Rhinolophus ferrumequinum: one gene and its partners. The main gene of each other region encodes a partner of the protein of the gene in region 2 in a complex. Links are inferred from orthologs where the notes say so. Each region holds a gene or a part of one and is shown on either strand. Other genes may lie near its edges.

Evidence for each region.
Region 1: EFTUD2 (region 2) and CWC22 share a complex: the UniProt entries of both Homo sapiens proteins name them as parts of the minor spliceosome. The link is inferred for Rhinolophus ferrumequinum from reciprocal best matches to the Homo sapiens genes EFTUD2 and CWC22.
Region 3: EFTUD2 (region 2) and SRRM2 share a complex: the UniProt entries of both Homo sapiens proteins name them as parts of the minor spliceosome. The link is inferred for Rhinolophus ferrumequinum from reciprocal best matches to the Homo sapiens genes EFTUD2 and SRRM2.
Region 4: EFTUD2 (region 2) and ARMC7 share a complex: the UniProt entries of both Homo sapiens proteins name them as parts of the minor spliceosome. The link is inferred for Rhinolophus ferrumequinum from reciprocal best matches to the Homo sapiens genes EFTUD2 and ARMC7.

What each region holds. Positions count from the first base shown.
Region 1 is NC_046291.1:46,208,440-46,216,390, reverse strand, and holds the start of CWC22 (pre-mRNA-splicing factor CWC22 homolog), read right to left. Parts: upstream 3,019-7,951; 5' UTR 2,964-3,018; intron 1-2,963. UniProt on the Homo sapiens protein: Required for pre-mRNA splicing as component of the spliceosome. As a component of the minor spliceosome, involved in the splicing of U12-type introns in pre-mRNAs. Promotes exon-junction complex (EJC) assembly.
Region 2 is NC_046304.1:39,769,658-39,777,277, reverse strand, and holds the start of EFTUD2 (116 kDa U5 small nuclear ribonucleoprotein component), read left to right. Parts: upstream 1-4,608; 5' UTR 4,609-4,729; intron 4,730-7,620. Other genes in the region: Ig-like V-type domain-containing protein FAM187A, read right to left, coding at 1-508; CCDC103 (coiled-coil domain-containing protein 103), read right to left, coding at 1,533-1,982, 2,623-2,755, 3,152-3,294. UniProt on the Homo sapiens protein: Required for pre-mRNA splicing as component of the spliceosome, including pre-catalytic, catalytic and post-catalytic spliceosomal complexes. Component of the U5 snRNP and the U4/U6-U5 tri-snRNP complex, a building block of the spliceosome.
Region 3 is NW_022680357.1:4,399,084-4,406,134, forward strand, and holds the start of SRRM2 (serine/arginine repetitive matrix protein 2), read right to left. Parts: upstream 3,016-7,051; 5' UTR 3,001-3,015; coding exon 2,992-3,000; intron 1-2,991. UniProt on the Homo sapiens protein: Required for pre-mRNA splicing as component of the spliceosome. As a component of the minor spliceosome, involved in the splicing of U12-type introns in pre-mRNAs.
Region 4 is NC_046304.1:50,175,858-50,182,734, reverse strand, and holds the start of ARMC7 (armadillo repeat-containing protein 7), read right to left. Parts: upstream 3,006-6,877; 5' UTR 2,664-3,005; coding exon 2,573-2,663; intron 2,483-2,572; coding exon 2,339-2,482; intron 856-2,338; coding exon of another isoform or gene 764-855; exon of another isoform or gene 318-763; intron 1-317. Other genes in the region: SLC16A5 (monocarboxylate transporter 6), read right to left, coding at 6,228-6,478. UniProt on the Homo sapiens protein: As a component of the minor spliceosome, involved in the splicing of U12-type introns in pre-mRNAs.

The DNA of each region.
Region 1 (7,951 bases), on a different chromosome or scaffold from region 2:
TCACACAGCACAGCTCTGAAAGTGGGCTTTCTAATTTTTATTTAAAGAGCCATTTAGTGAACCACGTTCTAAGTTCTAAGGAAAACTTGGAGGTGCTGGCCTCCACCAAGATTTATCGAGTAGTCCCTAGACACATAGCACTGCATTCCACCACAGAGGCTCCTGTTGCCAGCTCTCCTGAGAAAAAGCGGCCCTGACAAACTAATTCAGGGAAGGACTGACTCCTAAGGTAACTTTTCAGAGGGAAGTGCTGAATTCTGTCTAGCCTGATTCATTTAGGAGTCAGGCTCAAAGTCAAGTTAAACGTGAATCTTCACCAGGTCTCCCGTTCCCATTAGCTAACCCATTCTATAATCACAGAGGCCCATATGTCCCCAGGCCAAGGCAGCTCACACCATGTTTTTGGTATCTGTTAACTGGGAAAGTCTTACTAGCTTGGCTACAAACAGCAAAGGCTTGCTTTAATCCATTGCTTCCTCTTCTGATGTGTTATTTTTGAAGAAAATGCTTTGAAAGTTTGTTGTCGGCATTGAAATGTCTCTTCAATGTCCACCTGAGAAATGCATATACTAAAATAAAACATTTAGGGTTATAGATTTAGTAAGTCTGGACGTTTGCTGAAACTAATACGCCAGAGGTCTTTTTGTTCCATCACCTTCCCATACTAGGATTCTCAGACTTGAACAGAAAAGGAGAGAAATGCAATAAGGAAGCCCTCAAAGTCATCAGTGGGATCAGCTATATTACCAATAACCACTTTTTCCCTAAACTAACTCTAGGCTAGCCACGACTTCTAACAAGTTAGGGATACACCACAGAATACAAAATGCAGTCTAAATACAAGTGGGCAACAAACAGAAAATCATGTTCAAATTAAGGCATGGGCATTTTAAGTAACAATGTGTTACCATGTACTATCTTAGGTGGTCTCAGCTACAACAGCCACTGTAGACCACTTGGCAATGTTCAATCGTCAGGAAGGAGAGTTAACCTCTAACAATCCAGCAGCTGCGAAAACTGACAAAGCTAAGAAGGGTGGTTTAGGAAAGACGGTTAAGTAGTCTAGGAAGTGTCAGAATTCCGGAAGTGATTGGAGCTAAACTATCCAAAGTAGGGAAGGACGTGGGGGCACAAGTAATAGGGTTGTAGCTCAAATACTTTGAAGCAAGGAAGGCAGCAAACCTGATTCTGGGGGTGGGGCGGGGGCTGGACCATATCAGATCCCTAGGAGATGGGCTGGAACAGTGGCTTTCAAACTAACAGGCATGAGAATCACATGCATGGTTTGATTAAAAAGAGACTGATGGACTCCCTACTCCCCAGTTTGATTCAACAGGACTAGGATGAAGCCCAATAATTTTCATTGCTTGAACAAGTTCCACAGAGCTACTGATGCTGCTGATTCAGGAGATATTCAGAATCACTGGGCCAGGTTATTAGATCAAGATTCTTGGCTTCTGAAGTCTCAGAGCCTCAGCCAGATAAGGCTCCGTGAAAGTGGCATGGACACTTAAAAGTGGAAGGGCAACCTTCATAACCAAAGAACAAGAACTGAGGCACAGAGTGACTTCATCAACTCTACCATAGTAGTAACTGTAATATAATAGCTAAACCTATACGCCAGGCACTGTGCAGAGTGCCTTATACACGTTATTTTTCTTCATCCTCAAAACAAGGTATTACTGTTACACACATTTTTCAGACTACGGATGTTAGGTAACCTGCCCCAAGTGACAGACCTAACACGTGCTGAAGCAAGACTGAAATCATGGGTTCACTAGTCCATCACCCAGTATCAACACAAGTAGGTCTCCTCCTCCTACAGATGCTGCAGGTTAACAACTCCTCTTTACATCAAAATCACAGTTAATGCCAATTGTAAATCTGTGTCTCCAAAGTAGGATGGTAATTGAGGTTAACTCCTCAGTTCACAGGCAATCCTAAAACAAGACAAGTCTAAATACAGTTAAGGCAGGTTACCTGGTCTTCTGAAGCCTAAGATTGCTTGTTTACCTATTTTTAGTCTGTGGACGCCTAAAAATGCAAAGGGCACTCTTACCGCACTTTCAATCACCTAATTCTTGCATCTGAAATAGCCTTTCCCTAGTTTTTTTCCTTCTCCATTTAGCTCAAAGACCTGTGAGGATTAAGTGAAAATAGGTAAAGCGATATTGCAGTTAAAAGACTCAGTGAAATTAACCATTAGATTACCATTATATATGCAAGTGTACTGTAGGATTCTGAGCTCGGTAAGAGGAGGAGAATGGAGACCCAAGTTTGGCAATTATCACATTTTTGGAGGTAGATCAACTTATGAGATGGTCAAGTATGACAGAGGAAGAACTCCGCACACTGAGGAACAGAGTCCGCAGGACTAAACACTAGGAAGAATCACTGTTTACGCGGCAAATGTATGAAAAAGAAACGACTAATGAAATTTTAAGGAGCAGTCACGGGGAAATTACGCCGGAAAAAGGCACAATGAAATTTACTCTATTTTTCAACGAACTATACAGTTCATTAATCCTACTCCCATAGTCTGGGGCCGGGCACTGAGAAAGGGGCCTTGTGGAAGCCGAAACGACTAGAGAGGCTCGAAGGAATCCGCGGCCGAAACGCACTGCACACAACAGGAGAGAGCCAGCGTTGGTGCTGGATTTCAGGAACAAATGCAGTGTGGAGAGACAGTACCAGGAACCTCGGAGGAAGCGAGGTCCGTCCGCGCAGGCGGACAGGGAGTTTCCCACCCGTTCAGACTCCTCCGCCCGACCAGCTCTGACACCTCAACCTCGCCAGCCGGCGCGCGGCCGGAAGAGAGCCACGCGCACCCCGGCGGCACCGATGGCCGCACCGGCAGTCCCGCACCCACTCCTGGGCACCTTTCACCACCCACCCTGTCCGGCAACCCACCACCCACACTACGGTTCGCAGGCTGCAGCGAGTCTACGGAGTTCGATAGTTACCTGGAGCTCCACCGCGCCGCCATTACACCGGATACACGTCACTTCCCCTTCCCGGCCCCGGCAGTAGGGGGAAGGCGGGACGTGAAATGCATACAAACCTGATGCTACATTGGCTTTGATACGTTATCCTACTTATTTTTTAAAAAAACACATCATAATACCAGATTCAGAGCAGTGTGTCCGGCCACGTTTTCCCTTTCCCAAGGCGGCGACAAAAAAGAGAAGTTGATACAAACTACAAAGTCCAGCATCCACCGCCTGTGAGGGTGGAAATGACGTAAGCAATTACTGTCTTAGTTTTGAGAAGGCCGCAATGGACGCCGGGAATTGTAGTTCTTCAGATAAGCGACGGAAAGTGCTTTCAGGCGGCTAGTCAGGAGCCTGATGGTGATTAGGAAGAAGCAAAATATACTTCAAAACTATTTATTTGCAGTTGTAAAAAGTAGACCGTAGTAGTAATTTTCCGTGAAAATCTTAAGAACAGCAGACACCCTTTTCAGACTTTTTACGGTAATTAGATCAAGAACCCATTATAAACAAAAATATTTCCAACTGTTAAGTGCCTACTAAATTCCAAGATGTCAAGCCCAAGTAAGTGGGAGGATATTGGACCATAAATGGCGTGAAGTAATGAGGAGAAGCTAATTCTGTAGAAGATGATGCTTCTATTTTAGGGTAAGGTACCAGCTGGCCAGACATCATGATGAGAAGGACATTTTTTGGCGGACTTGGAAATAGCTATCTGTGGAGAGATAAGAGGTAAAACATCAATGTGTTTTAAGCTTTACTTTTCAATAGTAACAAAACCTAAAGTGTCACTTACTTGTTACTGTTTTGAGATCTAGCATTCCCTAAAACGACTGTATCTTTATGTTCCAGAACCTTGTCTAAACCAGGCCTGGTTTCTCCAAACACTTCTCTATTACAGTTTTAGTGTGCTGGTGTTACCAATCCTTTCCTAGAGGCAGAAGAGTATAATGCTACGGAGGACACTGGAGCCAGACTACTTATGTTTACGTCACGAATCTATTGATATACTTATGGATGATTGACCTTGGAGTAGGTTATGTCACACTGTTGTGTGTGATTCCTGATTGTTAGGAATAATAGTAGTACCCGCCCCACAGAGTAGTTTTAAGAATTGAATTAGTTGATACAGTTGTTGTGGTTGAGATAATTCCTCCTATATAATAGTATTATCTATTTTTTTAATATTTAAGAGATTTGGCTATCGGTAAAAGTGCATTTTGGTGTCTTAAAATATTTAAGTGAATTGATTTTAGTTGTACCAATACAGTACACAGAAGATGAACCTGGTAAACGTTTGTATGCTGTGGGGACAGAGCCAGGAGTGCAGTTTCCAGGCTCTCGGCCTCACGTGGAAAGGTGCTGGTTCAGGAAGTAAATGGCCATCAACTGTGATTGGATAGCCATCAGCTGTGGCTAGTTGGCTGTCAGCTGTAACCAGTGAGCCATTGGCCACTAATATAACTGCTGTGGCTATGCTAGCAGCAAATGGGGGCTAGCAAGAAGAAGGTGGCTAGCAAGCGCAGAGTGTAGTTAGCTAGCAAGTGAGGTTGGTTGGCAGAGAGAAATGGACAGCAGGTTGCGGATAGTGTAGCTCCTGCTTCCTGTGTCTCCAACCCAGCCGCTAGCGAGAATATAGTGGTATGACTCCCCTATCTGTGGCTCTGTGGGTGTTCCTCTTTGGCCTCAGCATGTCCTGCGTTCTTAGGTGGGAAGCGGGAGCTGAGACCCCCGCATGACACCCTGCATGACAATGCACATCTGAAAAAAGCACAATACCACCTCTACTGTTATAAAAAGAAATAGGAAAGTTAGAGTTGAGCCTAGGGGAGCTTAATAGAGCTAGAAAAGACTTAGGTTTATCATTTGGGTCTTCCAGGAAGCAAACAGTGAGATAGAGTTAAGAATGTAAAAAAGTGAAAGGAAAAGGGAGGAAACTAGATGGGACAGGGGTATCATTTATCCACACTGCAATAAAGTGATAGGCCCTTGTAACACAATCTTGCTCAGTCATTGGCTGGAGCCACTTCAGGAAGAGAGGCTTCAAATCAAAAGCTGAGGTGGACTTGAAAATGATAACAGTAGAAGGCTGTCACCTAATGACACTCTTCACAACTAGGCATGTTTTCTTGAAGAGGTGTCTGAGCAGCACACTTCTGTGTCTGTCACAGTCCACCAGGTAGATCCACTCTCTATACACATTCAGGGAACAGTTCCTCCAGGGTTTCAATGGGCCTCTTCCTGAAGGGAAACCGAGAAAAGAAGTTAGGGGACAAACTACAGCCCCCATCTTTGCAGTCGGTCCGGAGCTACAGCTGAACTCACTATTTTTTTCTTCCACTATTCCTTCTAAATTTCCCTCACTCTCATGTACCACCTCTGTGGGTCTCAGTGATTAAACAGTGGTGTGAAAACCCTAATTCCTGAGAAATTGGAGCCCCTGGTAATAAACTCCTTCTCAGGCAGGTGTTGCTGTACTTGCCCATTTACAGTCATGATGGTGCCCAAGTGAATCCCCTTAATTATTAAGAGGTACCCAAGTGAATCACCTGAATACCACACATATGCTTACTTTTCCCCATTGTATAACATCAAGGCTACCTTCTCCTGCTGATTAGCGTTAGCTTCTCCTGCCAAGCATTAAGCCTTCTTCTTGCCTACTTGTCACTGAACTCAAGAAGTGCAAAGTGTCTAGGCAACAGATGATGTTCAATTCAGTGGGACTCTTGCTGAATCCCCTAGCAATACTATGCCACCTTTGGGGACTAGGACCGCTAATTCCACAAAGATCAGCGTTGCAAGAACGGGAAACACTACATCCCCTAATGGGTCATTGGGAAGGATGGTGAATTGGGCTATTCCTGTTTTAATCCTTTGTTTCCTGGACCTGTGCACTGTTCTTGTTAGGGACCCTGAGCTGCCATACCAAGGTCTATTGCATCCTGGGGAACAGCACCTCATTCTTGCTGAGTATTATTTCCTAGCCGGTGCTTGAACTGCACCCCTAGGAGGCCATTCCAGTGCTCTATTAGGCCAGCAGCTTCTGGGATATGCAGCATGTGATACAACCAGTGGAACCCATCATCACTGGTACCCTCCTGCAGCACCTTTGCTGTGAAGTGGTTCTCTGCTTGGATGCTACATTGTATTATATTCCACATATGTGGACCCCGCATTTTGTAAGTCCTCAGATAGTGGTGCTGGATGAAGATTGTTTGGTAGGAAATGCAAATATATACCCAAAATAAGTAATCTATTTCCATGAGGTGGAACTGCTGTCCTGTTCAGGATGGAAAGATCCCAGTGTAGTCAACTTTCCACCAAGGGGCTACATAATCTCCTAAAGGAATGATGACATAGTAGGAGCTCAATATTGGTCTCCTTTGCTGGCAGGTTGAGGTTTCAGATGAAGCAGTAGACAGGTCAGCTGTGGTAAGTAGGCTGCATGCTGATGGGCCTATGCTTAGATTCCATTTCTGCCTCCATGGTCATTTCATTCAAGTGTCCATTGTGCCAGCACTGGGATGGCCACTAACAAAGACAGGCTAACATCATCCAGCTGAGTAATTTTGTTTACTTGGTTGTGTAGTGTTTCTTCCATGATGTGTACTTCCTGAGACATTGATATGTGATAATAAAATCTTCGTACTTTTTGCTCACTTTTCACACTAATATGTTGTGTATCCACATACCTCTAATCCTGTAAGACCTCAGTGTCTGCAGTCTTTTAAATCTCTTCCTTTTCAGCCCTCTGACCAGCCAGCCAGGCTACTTGCCATTGCCTCTTAATCTGTTTATGTCCCAACATTGGGTCACTTTTCCTTCCACACAAAGGGGATGACCAGGTGCACCCCTGACACTCTGCCCATTAGAAAGACTGTCCCTCTCCTCTGTTTTCAAGGTTGTTCCTGAGTGAGGCTGTCAGTCATGGAGCTGCTGTCCAATTTCAACTTTCATCCACATACTTAGCCAACTCATCTGTAAACTAAGTTCAGCCATTTTTTCTTCTTTTAACTAATTGTTGAAGACACTACTCCTACTCCATATGGCCATCAGTGTGAGCTGAGGGGTACTGATGCAACAATCATGCAGATTGTTTGTGCCCTCTGGTCTTCTTTTTGCTTCATCCCAAATGGAATTCTTTTATCTTGTGATGAATTGCAACAGGGCCCCTCAGAATTTATAACAGGATGTGTTCAACGAGATACATTTCATTTTGTGTCACTTGGTATCCCCTGGTCAAGCATTGTCTCTTTACCATTAGCATGCCAAGAGCTAATTTTTAAAAGATGTGCAACCTAGCTCCAGAACCCCAGGGATCCGACCTGGGATTTTTCTACTAAGATTTCCATTAACTCCAGACTGCATCTTTTCTAAAACTCACAAGTCTGACATAGAATCTGCCATATTCTATACCACTACTCAAATCTGCTGCAGAGCCCTTTCTTTTGCCAGTTTGTAAAGCTGGGAGCTTTTTATGTCACGTAGCACATGGGCCAGAAAAATATTCCTCAGCGTGGAGTATGTTGCTTACAGAATCCAAAGCAGCCTCCTGGGAACTCTGCTTTCTCCTGTCTTGTAGGGGATGCAGCAATTTGTCTTTTATTTTGAAGGGAATGTTCTAGCACTGCCCTGAACACTGGTCCCTTAAAACCTTTCATGAAGGGACAGGTTCCTGATTCTTTATAGTGTTAATGTCCCATGCTGTGGACCACAAGCCTCCAGCCTGCTAGCCACCTCTTGTTCAACCCGTTTAATCAGCATGATGTCATTGATAAAATGGATCAATATGATGCTCCATATGATTTCTAGATGATTCAGGTCTCTTCGGACCATATTATGTGAAAGACAAAGTTAACAGAGCCCTGGGGCTAAAGTATCAGTGAATATTATTGTTTGTTTATTTTATGTGGACATCAACTATTTCTAATTGTCTTTCTTGATAGGGATAGAAAAGAATG
Region 2 (7,620 bases):
AGACGTGGAGGCTCCCATAGTAGTCGTCGGCAAAGGGCTCTTGGCCCTGGTCCTTGAAGGTGGCCACCATTCCCTCACTGCTCTGGATGTCCACATCGTAGGCGTAGAAGTAGTCCCCCTTGCGGGTGCCACAGAAATACAAGCCTGAGTCCTCGGGCTGGGCCCGGAAAACCAATAGGCTGAACATGCGAATGCTGAAGCGGACCAGCATGTCACTGCCCACCCGGACCTGGGCCGCCTCGGTCAGAACGCGCCCATCAAAATCCGTCAGCACTTTGGTGTGGCTGCTACCGAGATGCTTTTGATAGTACCAGACTACCGCAGACACCTCCTCGGGCTTGCAGTGGCAGGGCAGCTCGAAGCTCATGTCGGCCAGGTAGGCTGCATTGTCGAACATCAGGAAAGCGGGGCAAGGGGTCCTCTGAAAAATATTCTCCTTCTCCACGATTTCAAAGGCCTGGAGACTCCCCCACGCCCACAGCAGCACAGTGGTGTGGGCCAGATTCATGCGTGCACGAGGGAAGGCTCAGAGTGGGTAGGGCAAAACCAAGGCACTCAAGGCGTATGGGGGCTTCTAGAAATGACTGCCAGAGGAGGCATCTATATTAAGAAAAGATTAAGCCGCCAAGAAAAGCAACCATCTGCAGGGGAAGTGGCCAAAGGCAAGGCAACCGATTCCCAGCTGATGTACGAGATGCCCTTCTAATGTGACAGATGTGATCTCAAGGGAAAACCATTCTAGAACCTGGCCTTCTCTCTCCTTTCTAGAACCCTGACACTCACCCAAGAATGGGTCAGGAGAAACTGGAATGAGAAGCAGGGCGCAGGGGCTAGATGGAAATCTCTGCCTCCCTGCTCCAGGACCTGCCCCGCCTGCCTGGTGGGTAGGTTTTCCCTTTGGGTAATCCCAGAGTTGAAGGAAACCCACCCACCTGCCCATCTGGCCATCTGAAGAAGCCTGGGAGGCTGGCCAGACTTAAATTGATGGCGTGGGGCTTTTCCAGGCTCAATCTGCCCAGGAACTCAGCCCCTGGGATAAAATACCGCGCCTCAGATGAGATAGCATTTGACCGTGACCGTTTGTCAATTAAATGTCCATTCATTGGTTTTAGGTTATAAACAGTCTCGTTAAGAGCTATGGAGGCCAGTGTTTCTTCATCATGGAAGATTAATGATTTTGCTTTTTCGTTTCTTGGGTGGAGGCTGTTAACTGGTGTGGCCAGCATTTGGTTGGGCACGTGCCCATCTCTCAGGGCTATGGGCCACGGCCTTGGCAAACACTAAGGGCAGGAAGCAAAGCTCTTTTAATTTCCTGGGCCCTTGACCATCCTGTGGACCCACACAATTTAGAGTATCGAGCCACCGAGGGGCTGCAGAAGAGGGAAAGATTGAATTCGGGCTTTTACTCTGAAAATTCCAGGTTGAAAGGGAATTAGGTGTGGACTTCTTACTACAGTCCTGCAGAACCCCAAGACAACAATCAAAAAATGCCTCCAGCGACCACTGGGGACCTCTGAAGGTAACTGGTCCTATCAATCCACCTGGTACAGCCCTAGCAGCTCTTGCAGGAGCCTCTCCTCCTCCTGGAGCCCACCAGGCTGCTCCAGACCCCGCTCCTCCGGGCTGAGCCCCTCCTTCACGGGCCTGGGGGCGCCCATGGCTTGCAGCTTTTGAAACAAGCTTCTGCAGCTCTGTCTCTCCACCTGGCTCATCAGGCTCAGGTTCAAGGTGAAGCGCCCGGTACCGGCCAGGCTGTGCAGGATCCCTAGCACCAATGACCGGTCAGCCAGCCTCACGTGATCAGCCAGCACCACCAGCATCTCCCCTAGAAGTCCAAATCCCACATCTGTCTGGAAGAGGTGTCCCAGCTTGGGACCCCCGAGCTGTAGCAGTGCCTGGTAGCGCTCTGGCCCACTCCGCAAGTATCGCCGCCAATCACGGTAGAACTCTGCTGAGGTCTCAGGCTGCAACAGTGTTTTCTCCTAGTTCACAAAAGAAGGAAAGGGAATTCAGAGCTCTTCCAGCTGTTCTGCGACAGTAAGAGTGAGGGAAGCCTGTGGGTTTTCACCTTAGCTCTGGTACTGCTCTCTGAGCACTGGGAAGGCTGTGGTGGCTGGGGGACTCATTCTCAGATGAGGGAAACTAGCGGTGGAACAGGGAGAGAGGGTCCCAAAGAACCCAGGCCATGATTTGAGATTCTTAGTTGTACCAGGATTTTCTTACTGATGAATGTGAGAATAAGTCAGGGTTTACTCTGAGCAGGGCCGAAGGGATGACTGAAAACCTCAAGGTGAGTGTTAAGGGTCTGACAGGCTGGGTCGCCCTCCCAACACTGCCACAGGACCATTATACTATATACCATATAACCTGGAGCACCCCAAATCTGATCTGTGCATGCAAGTCAAAGGACTGCCTGGAGGGGACCTGCGTGGCCTGGCCACCTTCCTGACTTGTTCTGCCCAATGTAGCTCAACCCCACCATCTGCTGGGTGCTTTCCTTTCTGGGATTGGAGGCAGAAACCTGCCTCTGTTGGTTTAACATGAGAAATAAGGAAAAGGTACGTGTTGTAAGAGGATAGGACTGGAGGTTTAGGGCAGAGAATTCTGCTGGGCCTCACCGACCTGACAGATCTCAGTGGTTTCATCCAGGGAGGTCCTTCCCTGAGTAGTGTGACAGTTCCAAGGCACGGTCCTCTTTCCTCCTATCTTATCCTTCCGTTCCAGTGGCTTCAGATGTGATGCAAGGACAATACCCCTGTGGACAAAGGACAGAGATTAGGGGATGGACCTAATGGTGTCTGTGGGTGTGAGGTGGCTGGACTTTGCATGATATTGGCTGAATCTGTTGGCAGGCCAGTATGACAATAACAACAACAGCAACAATAGCTGACAGCTTTTAAGCACTTCCCATGTGCCAAACATCGTGCTCAAAAATCTTACATATAATAACTCATTTAATCATAATAATGGTTACTCTCTTTTACAGATAAGGCATAAAGGCACAGAGAGGTTAAATAACTTGCACAAGACCACACAGGTAGCAGAGGGTAGAGCCAGGGCTGAGCTCAGAATTGTCTGACACCAAAGTACGTGCCCTTATCCACTAAAGTCCACCATAATAGGAGCGTCTGAAAAATGGCATTAAGCCAACCTGAATTCTTCATAGGAAGCCACCCTCTGTTCCACTGCCCGTAACTTGGCAGCATTCTCCCGTTTGTACTTCTCATCAGCAGTGAGTGCAGCCTGCAGCTCTTTCTCCAAAGCCTTGAAGTCGATGATGTCATTCCTTTCCATGGCCTGTGCCTGGGAAGGCAAAGGGAATGGACATCAATGGAGGATCAATAATAGGGGGAAGAGTGTGCATCTGGATTCTTTGCCAGGCCACAAAATAACCAAAAACCACTCTGGATATCTTGTCACTTATGTTGGGGGGGGTGTTACAAAAATCTGATTCTCTAGTGAGCGGAGCTGACGTACACAGTGAGAACTTACTTAAGACTTGTTGTCACTCAAAATAGAGTAGAGTCCTGAATTTCAATTTGGAGCCCAATGTTAATTTTGTCCTCTGCCTCTAAAAATATTTTATTATTGGTGCTTCAGCTGAGGAAGCATTTGGATCTCAAAATTCAGTCCCTTCACTCTTCCACATGGTCTCACTCTATAGCAATTATGAAAGAAGACCTCGCACAAAAGCAGAACTATTGTTAGCTACTCTTGAGCCCAGGGATACAATTTCATCCATAATTAAATGTCTTTAATGGGGAAGGATATTTTTCACCCAAGCCAGATGCAAGGACTGAGCAGGAAAACAAGTAGAAGTGGCAGGCGAAGGGGCTGAATGATCCCTGTCCCCAAATCTTTCCATCCAGTCCAGGGCTGGATCACAGGACCCTAGATATTTGGGCGACCTCTTTAGTTCTATCACTGTACTTCTGCAGTCTCCGCGTATCTGAGGCTGATTGACCCGTTTTATAGGGAGATCACCTAAATGGGTTCTAGTCTTGGCTCTGGCGTTTACTTGCTGTGAGACCCCTTTGAACCTCAGACTCCTGGTGCATTGAGCTAGATTTTGTGGTGGAGTCATCAACAGCCTTAGGACAAAGAACCGAGAGGTCTTCAACCAACCCCACAGTCCTCCCCTTCCACCTCAACGTGGGTAAGCTGAACACCAAGAAGTGGGCTGGGCTGGCCAGGAACTGAACTCAAGTGTCCGGCTCCTGTCCAGTTCTGAGCCCTACCCAGTCATTGAATAAATAGAACAACTAAGCCTACCGCCCCTCTGACCTTCACCCCAGCAGCCCTGGCTTTGGTTCCCTTGCTTTCTTTGGGGATCCCCAGATACGCCGGGAACAAGGTAGCTTAGCCTACCACCCGCAGCAGCTGTGGTTGCCCAGCAACTGCTCCAACAGTCTGCCCACGTGATCGACCTGAAGGCCCCCGTTCAGGATGGTCCCGAGGCGCCTGATCAGATTCAAGCCTCCTCAAGCCTCATTCAATTTGGAAAAGCTCACGCCTTGGTTTGAGGATCCACGAGTCCACCTTGCCAGTTCCTGCGTCCGCGGTCGGCATTCCTCCGAGCTGGTCCTCAGGCAGAGGGCTGCCCTCCGCGGCAGAAACGCGACCGCGGCGGCTTCGGGGTCCTTCCGGACAGCGGGCGCAGGCGGCGGCCGTGTGAGGCGGAAGCGCGGGGCAGCGGCCTACCGGGAGCTGCTGGCTGAGCAGGCGGGAGGTGAGCTGGCGTGGGTCAGCGGCGTGGGGAGGTGGCTCCGGGTGGGATGGGAAATTACATAATGTCAGATCTGGAGGATCTGCCCCTTTCACTTTACAGATCGGTAAATTGAGGCGTGGAGCGGGAAAGGGAATGAAACACACCTTCTCCCCAACACACACACACTCAGATCCCGAGGTTCCCTCAGTGTAGTCCATCCGTAAAATCCCTTACGTGGGCAGGGGTCGTTCTCACTGTTCAGCCCCCCTCTTTCACTCCCTCTTCCATCCGTGCCTTCTTCACTCCTTTGCCCAGCTCCCTCCGTCCTTATTCTGTATTCCTTTGAGAGCCTGCATTATAGCGGGAAGCCGCAGTGAAGTTTGGTACCGCAAGTCACTAGTTTTGTGCACCTGTGGGCAAGTCAGCCCTCTTCTCTGTGCCTGGCTGGAGTCATTCATTCACTCAACAAATATTGAGGTCCTGTTTGTGCCAGATACCGTTCTAAGTGAAGGAGGGGAAAAAATAAAACAGTCCTCACTTAAATTGTAGTTGGAGAGATGACGTTAAACACATGACTAGGTATATCTCAGGTAGTGATAAATGTTAATAATAACAAAAGAGTAAAGGTGGGAGTTGGAGAGTATGTGTATGGGGGACTCTTTTAGAGTGGCAAGGGAAGGTTTCTCAGAGAAGGTGTCATTTTAGTAGAGACCTGAGTGACATGAAGGAACAAGGTATAAATATCCAAAGCAAGAGCCTTTAAGAAGAGAATAGCAAGTACAATGGCCCTGAAGCAGAAGGAGCTTGGTTTGTCCCCGGAACAGCCTTCTATAAAAATTTCTTCAGTCACTTCATGAGTTTTAGGAGAATGAAATGAGCACAGATGGGACAGCTCTTTGGAAGTAAAAAGAATATGCACGTGAAAGTTTCCATAATAATTTACATTTAATTACCATGTTTTCCCGAAAATAAGACCTAGCCGGACCATTAGCTCTAGTACATCTTTTGGAGCAAAAATTAATATAAGACCTTATGTTACGTATAAGATCTTATATATAAGACTTTATATAATATAAGGTCTTATGTTAGATAAGACCTGGTCTTATTTTACTATAAGCAAATAAGAATATATAGTAAAATAAGACTGGGTCTTATATTAATTTTGGCTCCAGAAAACGCATTAGAGCTGATGGTCCGGCTAGGTCTTATTTTCTGGGAAACACGGTACTAGTCCTTGGAGCTCTTAATTCTCTATTTTATCTACAACCAGCACTCAACAGGTGGCATTGAGGGAGGTGGAGGAATTAACTTAGTGTAAGAAATAACAGTATCTCAAAATTAAACATTGCATTCACTTAACATTTATCCCGTTCCTACTTCCGCAAGGTACGTTGGCCAGTGGGCACACGGAACACAGGATTCCTGTGTTTAAGAATGGCCAAAACATAATGCTAACTAACATTTATTGAGCCTGTGACTCGGATAAATTCTTGACAGAGACTATTTTGTTTAATTCTCACAACCTTTCATGCAACGGGAGTTAGTCACTCCATTTTCCAGTTGAGGAAACAGGTTTAAAGAGGTGAAGTAACTTACCTGAAGATACATAGTTATTAAATGACGAAGTTAGGATTCATATCCAGCTTTTCCCATTCCAGAGCCCAGGCCCTTCACTCGTGCTCAGGTCTGTTGTTTATTACTTGTAAGCTGTAGAGTTGTTGCTGAGGGTAATTGGTACAGGTAACTACCACTCCAAACAATTCAATGCTGATAAAGGTACAGAAGGCTGTAGCGGCATAGGGGAGTGAGAGATTGGGGATCTAGGAAAGCTTGAAGGAGGTGGCATTGGAACTGTGCTTTGAATAGAATTTCAGCAATTGAAGTGGAGAAAACCCACAAAATACTTACTCATTGCAAAGAGAAAACTTCCCAATAGAGTAACTTCCCAATAGAAAAACCTGGCAGACACCGATGTAATCAAATGATTAAATTACCATCACCACTAATGGGACAAATTAAAATCATGTACCATGTGATACTAGGAGATGCACTAAAAAGAACACAGCATCACTTCTGTGATATTTCTGCCAGAAATGCATGACTTGAATCTAATCATGAGGAAGCATCAGACAAACTCAAGGAACATTCTACAAACTCACTAGCCTGTAATCTTCAAAAGGGTCGAGTCATAAAAGTCAAGGAAAGACTGAGGAGCTGTCCCAGAGTGAAAGAAGCTAAAGACGTGACAACTAAATGCAAGCATGCAATCCTGGGTGGGATCCTTTGCTGTGCAGGACATTATTGGAACAGTTTGTGAAGCTTGACTGGGGGTCTGTGGATTAGGTGGTGGTTATGTGTCAATATTAATTTTCTGATTTTGATGGTTGCATTGTGATTATGTAAGAAAGTGTCCTTGTTGGTAGGAATCACACACAATGAAGCAGCGGTTGGCAAACCTTTTCTAAAGTAAATATTTTAGGCTTTCTGGGCCATATGGGCTCAGTTGCAGCTACTCAACTCTGCTGTTACAGTGTGAAAGCCTCCGTAGACAATATAAATGAATGAGCGTGACGGTGTTCCAAACTGACGGTGTTTCAGTTATTGTAGATACTGAAATTTGAATTTCATACAATGGATTGATTTTCACGTATCATGAAAAAAATTTTTCATTTTCCAACTATTTAAAAATGTAAAAGGCATTCTTAGCTTGGGGGCTTATAAAATCAGGCAGCAGGCCAGATTTAGCCACAGGCTATAATTTGCCAACTCCTGCACTAAAGTAGTGGGGTAATGAGGCATTGTGTCAGCCACTTATTCTCAAATAACTTAGGAAAAATAAAGTTATTTTTACTATTTTTGCAACTTTCTGGTATTAAATTATTTTAAAATTAAAAAGTATTATTTAAAAAAGT
Region 3 (7,051 bases), on a different chromosome or scaffold from region 2:
TTGCTGCTCATCTTCATCCCTATGTCAACATGTGTCTCCACACTGAATCTCCTTTAGCTGCACAATTCTCCTGGATTCCTAACGAAACCTTCTTCCATCCTTCCCACACTGCTTTCTTTCCACCAAGTCATCATAGCTAAGCTCTTACAGCCTTTTCTCTCGATGTCCAAGAACCATTCCTACTTGCACGTAGATTTTCTCCTTTTTTCCACGCTAAGCAAACAGGGATCCTATTTCTCTCAAATTTCTCCACTGTCCCTTTATTCTCCTTTGGCCCAAATATGCACAAGTGTTGTCTCCACTAACTACTCTAATTCCTAACCTCTGGTAACTGAGGCTTCCAAACCAGGCACAACGAGCACCAGACCTGTGGCTCCCAAGGGCCTGCAGTGCAAGTCCAAAGACTCTTCCAAGAACTAATCCCAGGATTTCAGACTTCCCTGTTATGAACACAAAATGGACCAAACAGCCCTTACATATCTAACAGGTAGACCAGTTCTAGAGATAAACCAGAAGTATCCTGTGCAGCCTCACACCCAGACTAAAGGCCAACATGCACACCAGAAACTCATGAACCCTGGATATATAATTCTTGTCCTTTACTTCCCAGGTGAAGGACCATTTCCTCGATTCCAAATATTTATACCTCCTATCAACTACCCTAACGCCTTATTTCTTCAATTTCCTTCCAATGGGATTTCCCAAAAGACTGGCAGCTCACCCAAATCTCCCTAGCACCTGTTAAATATTACCTGTTTTCAACATAATGCTCTAAATATATCAAACCAGCCTCCTCTGTTCATATGGTTCCCATACCTTCTCTACGATTCTTTGCCTTAAACTTATTATGAAAACTCCTACTCTTTATACCTCACTTTCACTGATGTCAAGGTGTCAGCTTTCCCCATCAGTCCCCTGTATCTCATTTCCTAATTTTTCTCTCCCAGCCCTGCTTTATCCCTTTCATATTGTTATCTTCATGCCTCCCAGTAGGTTCTATCCTCTATCCCCTCAACCTGTCCCAACCCCAACATGACTCTGAAGAGCCCTCAAGCCCGTTTTTCTGGTTAGATTTCTTGGCTACACGTACTCATACTCCTTTCTCATGCTACATACACTCTATTTCTTTCTCCAACTCATCCTGGCCAACATAATTTCAGAGCATAAATGTACAAGGAAAACCACCCCAGGAAAAAAACCCAGGAACAAAGTGAATAAATTAGTTAAAAGTAGAGGGAAAACATACTGAATTGGGTAAGAGGAATGCTACATTTTTTAAACCAAAGAAAAAAGAAACATGCAAACGTCTGGGAAAATGTTCTAAAGTGCAAAAAAAGAAAGAAAAAAAAAGGACAGCAAGATGTTGATGGAAGGGAGCTAGCCCAACCTCCCAACTCTAAGGCTGGGTCCCTGCCCAATCCCAATAGCAGACTCGAGAGAGGGGAAAAAAAAGAAAAAAAAACCATACTAGGGTAAAGAGAGCGACAGATGAGGCTACATCTAGAAAAGGCCAAGTGAAAATGCACAATGAAAAACTTCTTTGTAACATGAAATCAGTTTCTGTACCTTCCAAACCTCACTTTCATTTTTTCAAATACCAATCCTCCCTACTCTTAAAACTGTCCTCTTTGCCTCTCTATACCCCACCTAATTTCTGCTTCCCTTGCAGAATGCTTCTGACCTGCAATTAATTCTTCGACTTAACCATTCACCCACACTTCCATACAGGCTCACACAATAATCCTCCCACTCCCTAGGGAGGTTAAACCAACAGCTAAGCAAAGGGTATTAAGTCACAATGAATTGGAGAACTTTAAGGGAATGAGCCAAAAAAACGGAAGGGAAAACAAAAAAAGGAAAACAAAAAACCCCACAAACCACAGCATCCAAGGCAGTGCTGGAAACACTAAAAGGACAAACCAGGGGTAAACACACACACACACCCCCCCCCACCAAAAACCAGTTAACTTTATAAAACAGGGAGTCTTAAACTGGGGTCCACAGACTACGGGTATGCAAAAGTTACTCAAACTAAAGATAGAAAATAAAAGCTACAAAAGAAGACAAAATACAATTTTTTCTACTGGAAAATTATCACGATGCCAAGCTAACAAGGCGGAGGAAGTGAAATCTTGAAATTCAGTATTAAGATATCCAAGAAGCAAAAGGCACCAAAAGGGATAGTGGTGGTGGGGAGCGCAGGAAAACGGACATAGGTAAGCACGGCATTCTCAGCACTGCTGCATTGTATAGCTGAGCGGACACTATGCAACCCAAAAACTTAAAATCTTAGTTCAAGAAAAGGCCTAAGCACACACACTTAAGACGGAAAACAACAATACAGACTCTTCGAATTTTTGATCCAGAAGACATCTTAGATAAGCGTGAACTGAAACCAAGGCTCAGGAGAGCTGTGTGCCAAATAATGCCTGAAACAGAGTCCAGTGTTGTCTTTCAAAGGAAGGGCTCCAACAGCCTCCTTCCTAGCTTTAACACTTTTGGGGAGATAATAAAAAAGTGGGGGGGGGGGGAGAAAAGCATCTGGTCTGCTCTAGGCTAAATTTTTTTATTAAAGGTTTGGGGCTTTTCTCTCCCTAATACTTCACGGCAGTTAACGAATCCGAACGATCTAAATATCAGGGGCATCTAGTTCAAGGCCTTCTCCACACAGACTGGGCCGCCAAGGCCTATTTTCGGCTTTCAGGGATGGGGGAGGGGGCTGCGCGGCGCCCCGTAGTCTGGGAGGCTCCCAGCCCGACCACAGGCCCCCAGGAGGGATGGGGAAGCCGGACGCCGGAGTGGCGCAAGGGAAAGGATCCGAGAACAAGCCCCCGTCGCTGCCGGCCCCTCCCCGCCAAGAAAAAGCCGGAAGGGGCAGCTGCAGAAAAGCCCCCGCGGCTGCATGCGTGGGGGAGGCTAGAAGCCGAGTCGCGCGCTCCCCCCTCCTCGCCCAGAACGCGCGCGAGACCGAGTGCAGTCGGCGGCGCGCACCGTTGCCATGGGGGAGGGGTGAGAGTAAAAGCCCGCGCGCGACAGGAACCGCGAGAGGGGGGAGGGGAGGCAGGCAGGCAAGCGAGAGCGTCCGCGCGAGCTAGGGGCGGCGAGAGCGCGTGCGCGCGGCGGCCTAGGCCGTTCTCCGCGCGTTTTGGCCTCGCGCCGGTGCCACTGCCCCTCCCCCACCCGGCTCGCGCGCTCCCTCTCTCACCCGCCGCCGCCGCCGCCGCCGCCGCCCGCCGCCGCTGCCGCCGCCTCCGAGAGAAAGAGATGCTGTCGCTGCCGCTACTCAAGCTCCCGAGTCTCTCGAGGCCTGGAGCCGCCGCCTCAGCCGACACTGACGCCTCCTCGCTTCCTCAAGGGCCGCAGCGGGCACCGACTGCGCCACTCGCACCTCGCCTGGGCCGCGCTGCACGTCAGCACAACTAACTAAGCGCGTCAGCACGCAGCCGCGCGCGTCGCAGAGCCCGCCGGGAATCGTAGTACGCATCGCGGTCTTGTGCGCAGGCGCCGAAACCCCACCGGGAAGTGTAGTTTCTTAAGGCCTGAGGGAAGTTCAATTCCCTTGCCGAAGAACTACAAGTCCCGTCGGCCAGTGCGAGAAAAGACTGGGGAGGGGACCAGAGCAGGCAACGTATTCCTGAGGGTTTCCGCTAGGGGGGAGGGGCACAGGGCCTAGCGCCACATCGAGCGACCTCTGCCTCCCGCCTTCGACCCAGAGCATTTTGGGAGTTGTGGTTGTAGCGTGGCCCGGAACCCGTATGTAGTTTCGGCTCGGAGCATGGTCGCCATTTTGTCTCCCCATGTTGGGAGGCGATGGCCCCGAGTCCAGGGACACTGCTGCTTCCGTGTGACTTCGGGCTTCTCGGGCGAATCCGCACCCGCGCCGCACTCGGTCTTGTGCACCTGGGAGAAGCCCCCTCAGACACCAGCCAGCGGGCACCCCCGCGAGCCCAGAGCCCAGCTTCAGGCCCAGGGCCCGAGGCAAAAGCCCGTCCAGCATGAGGTCTTTTGTGTTTTCAGCTTCCACAGTTGCAGACGGTGCTCAACAGGGTCGTCTGCCCCACGGAATAATTTTCTGTTACCTCTGGGTAAGGCAGCCAGGCAACAATGCAGTCTTCTCCTACAGAACCTTGGATGTGATACCTATACTTGGCAGGGTAAAAACGCTACAGTCTTAAAATTTTCACCCTTTTACAGACTGTCTCCTGTTAATTTTCTGTAAGTTCATTTTTTTGAGCCTGAGAGCCAGCCAGTGTCAGAGCAGAGCTGAAAAATGCTGGGATTCTCAGCTGGGCCAAAGTTTCAACCTGACACCACTCACTTGCCCAAACAGCTTGGACTACCACTCAGTGGTCCTGGTTATGGGGCGGGGCTGGGGGTGGGGTGGTGTGTCTTACACCCTCAAAAAGAACCAGCACCTGATAGCCATTGAGTTGTTGTTCGTTTGAATTTGAGGCATTGTATTCGCTATTACTAAGTTTCCTTGTTAATCTGCCCATGTAAGGGTAAACTTTCATCAGGTGCTGTAACTGGGAGCCCCACTATTTTGTGCAGGAGCTATAACTTCAGCTTACAGTACCCACGAGTTGTTCTAAGCCTGCCTCCTTGAACTTGGACACCTTGGGATAGATTCCATGAGCTGCTGTTTCCCCAGAAATAAGACCCAGCTAGACAATCAGCTCTAATGCGTCTTTTGGAGCAAAAATTAATATAAGACCTGGTCTTATTTTACTACAAGACCGGGTATAATATAATGCCAGGTCTTTTATTAATTTTTGCTCCAAAAGACACATTAGAGCTGACTGTCCAGCTAGACATCTCTGGAATAACTTATGGCAATGTGGTGTCAACAGCAGCTCACTGTCACCAACCTAATGTTCACTAAAGTCCTAAGTTGAGAGTATGGGAAGAAGAGAAACTATTCAAGAGAACAGTTTGCAACCACAGAAATAAAGCCTCCAGCAGAAACCAGTGCATTCCAGAGACAAAGGCGAGGCTGCATTTTATGGAGAAAAGTCTCTGCCCTTGTCCCTGATTGGTCCATTTCTATGCAAATGAGGAATCTAAATGTGCACAGTCTGATTGGTGCAAGTAGTACTCTCCTGATTGGTCAGAATTGCATGTGATGATTGGCTGTTATGGAGCTACTCTGATTGGTCAACAAAGATGCAAAATGCAGTGCAGTTCTCAGCCCATGGCTTGAGAGGCATACCAGGAACTCTTTTATAAGAGTGGGCTGGCAGGAGCACAGGAGCACAGTACACAAGGCTGAAAGTTCAGTTTGTGGCTTCTCCCCCTCCCCACCACCCCACCCCATCCCCTGAAATGCAATGAGCATGAGAGGCTTCTGTTGGCAATGGCAGCTAGACTCTAGTTATGAATTTGTGCTCAGTTAACCAGGAGGCGTCCTCCTTGGCAGATATATTCCTTGTTGAGGTCCATAATAGCAAAGCCTTTGTCTTTCTGTTTCCTTTCTGTTTCTGTTACCAGCCAGAGCTGGTATTTCTGGTTGAGAATATAGAGTGGTGGTTCCTTGAAACCCACCACCTCCAGTGAAACCTCCAGTGTAACCAAATTCCCAATGATATTCTTCTCTACTGAATATTTTGTGCTAAATTTGGTACGTGAATCAGTGCATTTACTGCTCTTGACAACCCTTTGGTGTAGGTGTTACTCTCCTTTTCCTATGGGGACAACAATGAATTCCCTTATATAGCCACAGTACTGTTTTCAAAATCAAGAACGTAACATTGAAACAATACTATTATCTACAGACCTTACTGAGGTATTGTCAATGTTATGATAATACCCTTATGGCAAAATTCAAAATCATGCAAGCTTTGTATTCAGTTGCCATGTCTTTTTTAGACTCCTTTAATCTGAAACAATTCCTGACATTTTTTTTTTGTAATTCACAACATTGCCATTTTGAAGAGTACAAGCTATTTATTTTGTAGAGTGTTCCTCAATTTCAGTTTCATCATGTTTAGATTCAGGTTATGCACTTTTGGCAGGAAGACTACAAAAGTGATGCTGTGTTCTTAGTGTGTAATATGAAGAAGTACATACTGTCCAATAGTTCCATTACTGCCAGTGCTGACTTTGATCATTTGGTTAAGAAGGGGTCAACCATGTTTCTGTGCTGTGAAATTTCTAGTCCACCTTTCATAGTTTGTTGTTGTTGTTTTTCAAAGTGTCTAGTGGGAAACGTATTTAGAAACCAGGATCTGAGTACTAGGTGTACTTATAGTTCCTCTGGCATCATTACCTCTTGGAGGATAGAGCTGGGAAATGGATGAGATGTATATACATTCATGAGTTTACACTGATATCTCCAAGCTAATGCTACAGGATTCATTCTATCCTTTCCCCTCTCCATATTTGTAACTCCAACCATGGAGAACTTGGCTTCATTCTCCAACCATGAAGAACTTGGATTCCATTTCCCCAATATACTTACTAATTTGTTCAATTCTAGAATTCTAAAAAGTAACTTCAGAATTGTTCCTTCATGCTCCTGGAAAATAATGCCTACCAACTAGAGTTCAATATTTGCTTAGAATTCTTTTTGTTTTTACCCTGAGGGCATGTTCTCTAAGTACTATTTTCAAAAGTTATTTGAGTTAGTTGGTTTTATTTTTTCTCACCCTTGAGTGTGTTTGTTATTCATTTGAAATATGCTTTGGTTCATTTTTTTCTGTTTGTATTACATTGTAGGATTTTTTTCTCCCATCATGGAGATTTTGTTTATTTTTTCAAATATGTAAAACAATAGCATGGTACCAAAAGGTAGATTTGTACAAAAAAGTATATTCAGGGCCGGCCCGGTGGCTCAGGCAGTTAGAGCTCCCTGCTCCTAACTCCGAAGGCTGCCGGTTCGATTCCCACATGGGCCAGTGGGCTCTCAACCACAAGGTTGCCAGTTCAATCCCTCGAGTCCCGCAAGGGATGGTGGGCAGCACCCCCTGCAACTAAGATGGAACACAGCACCTTGAGCTGAGCTGCCACTGAGCTCCCAGATGGCTCAGTTGGTTGGAGCACGTCCTCTCAACCG
Region 4 (6,877 bases), about 10 Mb from region 2:
CAGGGGTGAACCCCATTATTGGTGTCTACACTCGTAAATCCAAGGAATTGTTCCAGGGCAGGTGTGTGTGGGGGTATGTGAACAGAGCTGGGATTTCCACACCATGTGTGAGACCTGTCCTGGTTAGAAGAGAAGGAGGGGCGACCCCCATTGGAACTCTAGCACCAGGTAACACAAATGTTAGGGGCAGACCTGGATGGCTTTTTAAAAATTGAAATCACACTTATCTATGACGTACTCAGGAAAGAAAAAGTGTTACTTGATTCTATCAAGCCTTTTGATCTAATTTCTAAATTACAGGAAATAAAGGGGACAGAAGACAACGGAACAATCTAAATGACACCATAAAGAGGCAACTGTCTAGACAATTTGGAAGGCGGGAGCTTCTGCAGAACTGGTCTGGATCCTTCGACAATTAGTCTTATGAAAAAAGGGTCTACTAATGAATAAAAGATAACTTATGCAGTGACTTATTTCCGAAGAGTACCATATGGAAAGATAGGGCGTGGGGTAGAGTAACTTTACAGTAGAGAGACCTAACCAATACTACCTCAGCCGAGTGACCAAGGTCACCATCAACAGTAGTTAGTCATGTCGGTAGCACATCCCTTTGATATGATGTGAAGAGAATGGCGCTTTACCTCCATGGTCACCCTCCCCAAAAACCCTAAGCCAGTCTAATCATGAGAAAGAAAAGAAAAATCAGGCAAATCCCAACTAAGGGACACTCTACAAAATACCTGACCTGTATTCCTCCAAACTGTCAAAAAAAGGGAAGTCTAAGAAACTGGCACAGCCCAGAGGAGCCTAAGGAGATGTGACAACTGAATGTAATGTGACATCCTGGATGGGATCCTAGAACAGAAAACAGACAGGGGAAAACTAAGGAAATCTGAATAAAGTACGGGCTTTAGTTAATAATGCATCAATATTTTGGTTTATTGATTGTAACAAATGTACCATACTAATGTAAGATGGTAATACCAGGGAAACTGGGTGTGGTATTTATGGGAACTCGCTGTATTATCTTTGCAATTTTGCTAAAACTGTTCTAAAATACAAAGTTTATTTAAAAGAGAGACAGAGAGAGATTGAGATCTAAGGGTGCAACAGATTAAATGCATGGGTCCTGAATTGGATCCTGACTCATACAAACAACAACAAAAATGTCTCTTTGGGAACTATTAGAGAAATTTGCATAAGTGGGTACTAGGTGACAATGGAATTCTCATCGGAGGTTTCTTTCCCTACATAAGATTCCTTTCACTATATAAAGACATGTTATTTTTGAAAGATGCGTGCTGAAAAAATAATTGTTGTTTGCCCTTAGAATAAATTCCAAACTCTTTCCCATGGCCTAGATCTAAGACCCTAAGTTCTGGTGCCGCCTCTCTAACCTCACTTTGCACCACTCACTGCTTCACTCATCACAATCCTGCCCTAGCAGCCTTCCTTCTGGCTCCTTCTGCATTAAGGTCCTCACCCAAGATGCACCTCTGCCTAGAATGCCTTCCGATGACGGCCAAAACGGAAGTTGCACCTACCTCCTATTGCTCTGTCTCATCATCCTGTTTATTTCCTTAAGAGCCTCAGCTTTTTGGTTTGTCTGCTCACCACCAGTCTCCTCCTACTGGAATGTAAATTCTTGAGGGTAAAGACCTTTCTCAACTTGTTCGCCATCTCTCCAGCATTTAGAACAGCACCTTGCTCACACAGTTCAGGCCCAATAAATGTATGTCCAGTTAATGATTCAATAGATCTTAGACCAAAACAAACACAGGAACCATAAGCCATTCCAAGTCACGTCTACTCCTCCTGATGTTAAAACATTAAAATAAAGATGTTTAGGGCAGCCGGCCGGTTGGTTCCGTTTGTTAGAACGCAGCGCTCAGAACAACACCAAGGTCACTGGGCCAGTGAGCTGCGCCCTCCACAACTAGATTGAAAACAACGACTTGACTTGGAGCTGATGGGTCCTGGAAAAACACACTGTTCCCCAATAAAATTTTTTTAAATAAATAAATAAAGATGTTTAAAAGAGCACTCAACTTTTTTCCCTCCAAGTGGCTTCCATCCTTTCCCCCACTTACAATCTCGTCACTCAGCCAGCAGGCGGGAAGGCAGACACGAAGAGGGAGTCCTGCGCTTAAGTTCCAGACCTGACTCAAGGTAGCCGTGACTCGGACAATCTGTGAACCGCGAAGGTGGCACCGATGTCGCCAAGGTCGGCCATCGCCGCAGCTGAGGGACTACGAGATTCCTTTCCCAACTACTCACGTCTAACTCACTGATCTCACCACAGCCCATCAGGCATCTGGGGGACCGGACCCGTCCTTACCAATAGCAAACTCCACCAGGGTCTCATTCTCCTCAGACAGCGAATCGAGGAATAAATCTAGGACCTGCAGCTGTCGCAGATACTGGTAGTTGCTGGGGTCATAGGCGAAGTTGGCGAGGTTGGCCAGGACTTGCTCCTTGGCGTCTGCAACGGAAAAGCGACACTGGAGCCAGGTCCGGAGTGCTGTCACGCCGAACCCCTGGCCCGTCCCCTGGCCCCCACCCTGTCGCTCACTTTGGCTCTCCGTCTCCTGGAACTCCGTGACCAGCGCCTGCAGGTATCCCAGCCGTCCGACGTGGGGCTCTACCTTCGGCTTCTGGGACATGGTCGGGGCGGCGGGGTGTCCACGAGGGACAGGCAGGGAGGAGTGTGGCAGATGAAGCCGGAAAGCCCGGCGAGAACCTCACTGGGCCTCACCGGTGCGGGCAAAGGCGGACCGGGACCGGAAATAGGTTCCCTTCCTGGCTTCAGGTTCTGCGGTAATTTGCAGCTGGAATTGAGATGTGGGGAATGCGGCGGGTTATCAGGATCCTGTAAGAGCTGGGCGTGAAAACCTAAATCGGGGCGCGGGAGACTAGGATACGACTGCGCGCCGGGCGAGGAAGAAGACCACCCAGCCCCGGTAGTGGGCTGGATTTTCGGTTCGATTCTGGGTTTCCGGCGGAAGCGGCGCGTACCTCCTCCCCGGAAGGCGAAAGGGGCGGGGCCGGCGCTGAGCTCGCGCGTGCGCACTGCGCTTCTGCCCTGAGGCGCCGGCTGGTGGGGTGCTGCGCCGGCTGGTGGGGTGCGGCGCCGGCTGGTGGGGTGCTGCGCGTGTATTGAGCAGCCCCCCCAGGACCCTTAGCAGCTCACGGGCGCCTCTGTGGGGGCTAACTATGCAGAAGCATCTCCAGACCCCCTTGCATCTGACGAGGCGGCGCAGGCCAACCTCCTCCTCGAAGGGACGCCCCTCCGGAGTGGGCGTCGGCTCCTGTGCCCCCCATAGGGGTCCTTTGAGGATACCTTCTGGTCGGCTTTTCCAAAAGGCCGGGCGAACCTGGCACCCCCTGTTCCCCAACCCTGAGCTGAGTCCGCTATCTCTGTCTCTGGCCAGACATATCGGGAACTGAGTAAAGCTCTTTGTCAGCCAGGCGAGTGGAGAGCGCTGGGGCAGCACCGGCAGGCAGTAGGAGCTTCCGTTCACCTGAATATACCGTCTTGGCGGCTTTCTGGGTCGTAGAGCCCTGAATGCTGAAGCTGTTTGGCCCAGTTCTTTCTTGGGGCTCCTCAGGAAGGTGGTGTGTGACCGAGACCGCGTAGGCGCAGGGGATAAAGGACCAGGGAGGGAAGTGGCCCTGCCGTACTCCCATCGTGCTTGAAATGAACGGGTGAAGGGGGCTTGGGCTGTGAGCTTCCTGAAGGCAAGGACCATGTTCCTTTGGGCCTGAGCCTAGCATGAGGACAGAGCAGCCACCATATTCCAGCTTGCCGTAGCCTTATTGGGAGCAGGCCCCACCTTCGTGCGCTCCGATCCCTGTGGCCAGCCCCTGCCCTGTACACACCCCCTGGGGCAGGAGTTATCACCACAGTCTGGTGCTTGGGTACCATGGCTGCTTCGTGAGGGCGGTGGCCACTGATGGCCTCACCTGGCCCTTCTGCTTCTTTGGGGAGCTGATGCGATCTGGGGAAGTACATCTCAGCCAGGGGGCTTCTCTGCCTCTGGATGGACAAAGGCTTGAGGACAGGATGCAAATGCTTTCCACCCTATGCTGCGCAGGAACTGCTCCAGATCCTCTCTAGAGGATTCCCAGAAAATCAGCTGTGTGTTCTGGAATCAGATGGGCCACCCATCTCGCTCATTTGTTCCTAGGGGCCCTTCTCCTTGAGGGAGAATTCTCAGTCCTTGATTTTGTGCTCAGGGCAGCGACCGGTTCTTATTCCTCTCTGCCCAGTCCCTGGCACACAGTAGATGCTTCATAAATATCTGTTGAAGGAAGTTTGCCTAGAGAATATTGCTACTCTTGCCCAGCAGCAGATAAGGTCAAAATTCCTTATGCTGAATGTTCACTGATATATTTTTTCCTTAAAAGAAATCTGTTTTAAGGAAGTGGGCCTCTAGGGGATGTACATTTCAAAGCCTGGTAGCTACTAGCAGCAAAAGCATTTACCTACTCACCAGCCCCAACTACCTCCGTGTCCCCTCCACTAAGATGGAGGAGGTAGGACTTGGTAAAATGAAGCTTTCCCCCTTCAGTGCACAAGCTGTGGATGGTGGCCAAGCACAGGACTAGAAGAGACTAGCTTATCCACGTCAACCTCCCCCTTTTTCAAAGCCCAGAGATGATGAACAATTTGCCCCAAGTCACATAGCAAATTGTGGCGGAATCAAATGTGAACACAGGTCTCTCCCAGCCTAGAGCCCTTTGCTTCACCTCTGCACTATCTTCTGTGGCCATAAGGGGGCACTCATGGCAGCGTCCTGGAGAAGACAGGACGTCCCCAAGGATGCTTACTCACGCCAGCTGGACCCGTGGAGGAAGGCTAGAGTTGGGTCATGAAAACAAAACCAATCCCCCTGATAAGGTTTTTCTTGTTGGAGCCTGGTTAAGCCTGAATCAACAAGGCTCAGGGCGTGAGCAGCCTTTGCCAAGCTGGGAGAACTTAAGTGGGGGAGGGGGACTTACTCCAGGCCTGTTTTCCTGCTTCATTAGTTCTCAGGGTTTGCAACCTGCTGCAGGAAACATTTTTGTGTATAATTCAAACTGTTTTTCCATTCCCTGGGTTGGTACCCTGCTAGAACAAACTGGGCTGATGACAGCTAGCCCCCAGGGGGTGACCTCGGGGAAGGGCACCAGCAGAGTGTGTGTGTGTGTGGAGCTCTGGCCTCCAGGCCACAGGCACAGGCCAACAGGGAGCAGGGGTGGACTGGCAGCTGGCCCAGACAGCTACTTACTCCACCCTAGGGTTGATACCTCTAACCCAGCAGGGAGAACAGGGTGGCAGGAGGGGAATAGAAGGGCTTCTGTTGCAAAAGCAGCTCCATTTTCAGAGGTCCTTGGGCCCTGCCTAGCAATCCTTCTCACCTGGTCAGTCAAATGTCTGGCTTTCCCCATGCCCAGCATTAATCTTCCCAGCCAAGATACCAGGGGCGGGGGGGGGGGGGGAGGACAAAGGAGGGAGGGAGACCCTGGAGCAGGATCTGCTGGTGTGCAGGGGGCCCCTTGACTTCACTGATTCTAGGACCCAAGTCAGGGGCTCCCCTCCAGTTCTCTGCACAAATGACAGGACAAGTACTCCACCAGACATTTAATTTTTCTCAACCCTGGATCCAGGCCAACTCCTCAGCCTGGCCTTCCACCACGACAGGCCACAAGGCCTTTCTTTTCAAGGTTCCAGTCAACATGAGACCCAGCAACTTGTCCTGGGGACACCCTAAGGGCAAGGGCTGGGTCACTGGGAAGAAGGGCGGCAGGAGGGCTTCGGAGGACAGGCAAGCTCTTTGGAACTGTCTGGAGTTCGGAGAAGGCAAAGAGATCACATCAGAGGCATATAGACTGGACTTGAGGGTCCAGTGTGTTAGTTGTAGCAGCAGCAGTGGGCAGCCAGCTGAGCAGAGCCGGCCATGATGGACGCCAGCAGGGCTCAGACCCACTTTTGTGGGCCCCAAGTACTCTGGTGCCCAAGGAAAAGTCAGGAGGACCTGCTCCTGGATTCTGCTCACTGGAAGGGACCCAGAGTCTTCGGAGGCCAGCCTCCAAGGTCCCAGCTCCTGGCTGAGTCCCAAAGTGCAGAGCCGAGATGGTCTTTGGTTCAGGCTTTCTGAGCAGGACTTCATCACCCCAGCTGCTGGAGAAGCAGCTGGAGATCCCATTCCTGGGCTGAGGCAGTGGTCACTCATTGACCTCGGGGCTCAGACGCTGGTCACATACATGATTTCAGTGGATGGCTGCTTCTCAGATCCATCTGTGCCCTCCACGGTGAGGGCCCGCTGTGGGGCAGCCTCCACGGTGGCTGCTTCCGCCTCTGCCTGCCTGCCCTGCTTCTCCTTCTTTTGCAGGGCACAGAAGCTGCCACCCATGAAGAGAGCAGCTGAGATGAGGAAGAAACTTGACATGTAGAAAACGTAGCTGAAGTTGTTGTTAGTTGTGTCCAGGAGGAAGCCTGGAGGATAGAGAGCAAGTTAGTCCACTGTCTGGAGCCACCAGGCCTCCCCCTGCCACTAAACTGTGTGCTCTGAGAGAGCGGGGACTTTATTTTTGTCCCTGCTGTATCCCCAGTTCTAGGAATTGTAGTAGGCACTCAATAAATAACGTTGAATGAAAGGAGGAGAGGAAACCCTAAACCTCTTCTGGTCCAGGCAGGAAGAGTCCTTAGGCCAAAGGGAACTTAAGGCCATGTCTCTCTTCCCCTTGGTGGCAGGAAACCAAGGAGACAAGGGCCAGTGGAGTCTGGGATATCTGCTCGGCCACGCCCTGGGCCCACCCATACACCTCCTCCTGGAAAGCTCTCTCTGCTTGCTGGCTTAGAGAATGCCCTTGGAAACTGGCATTTGCAACTCCC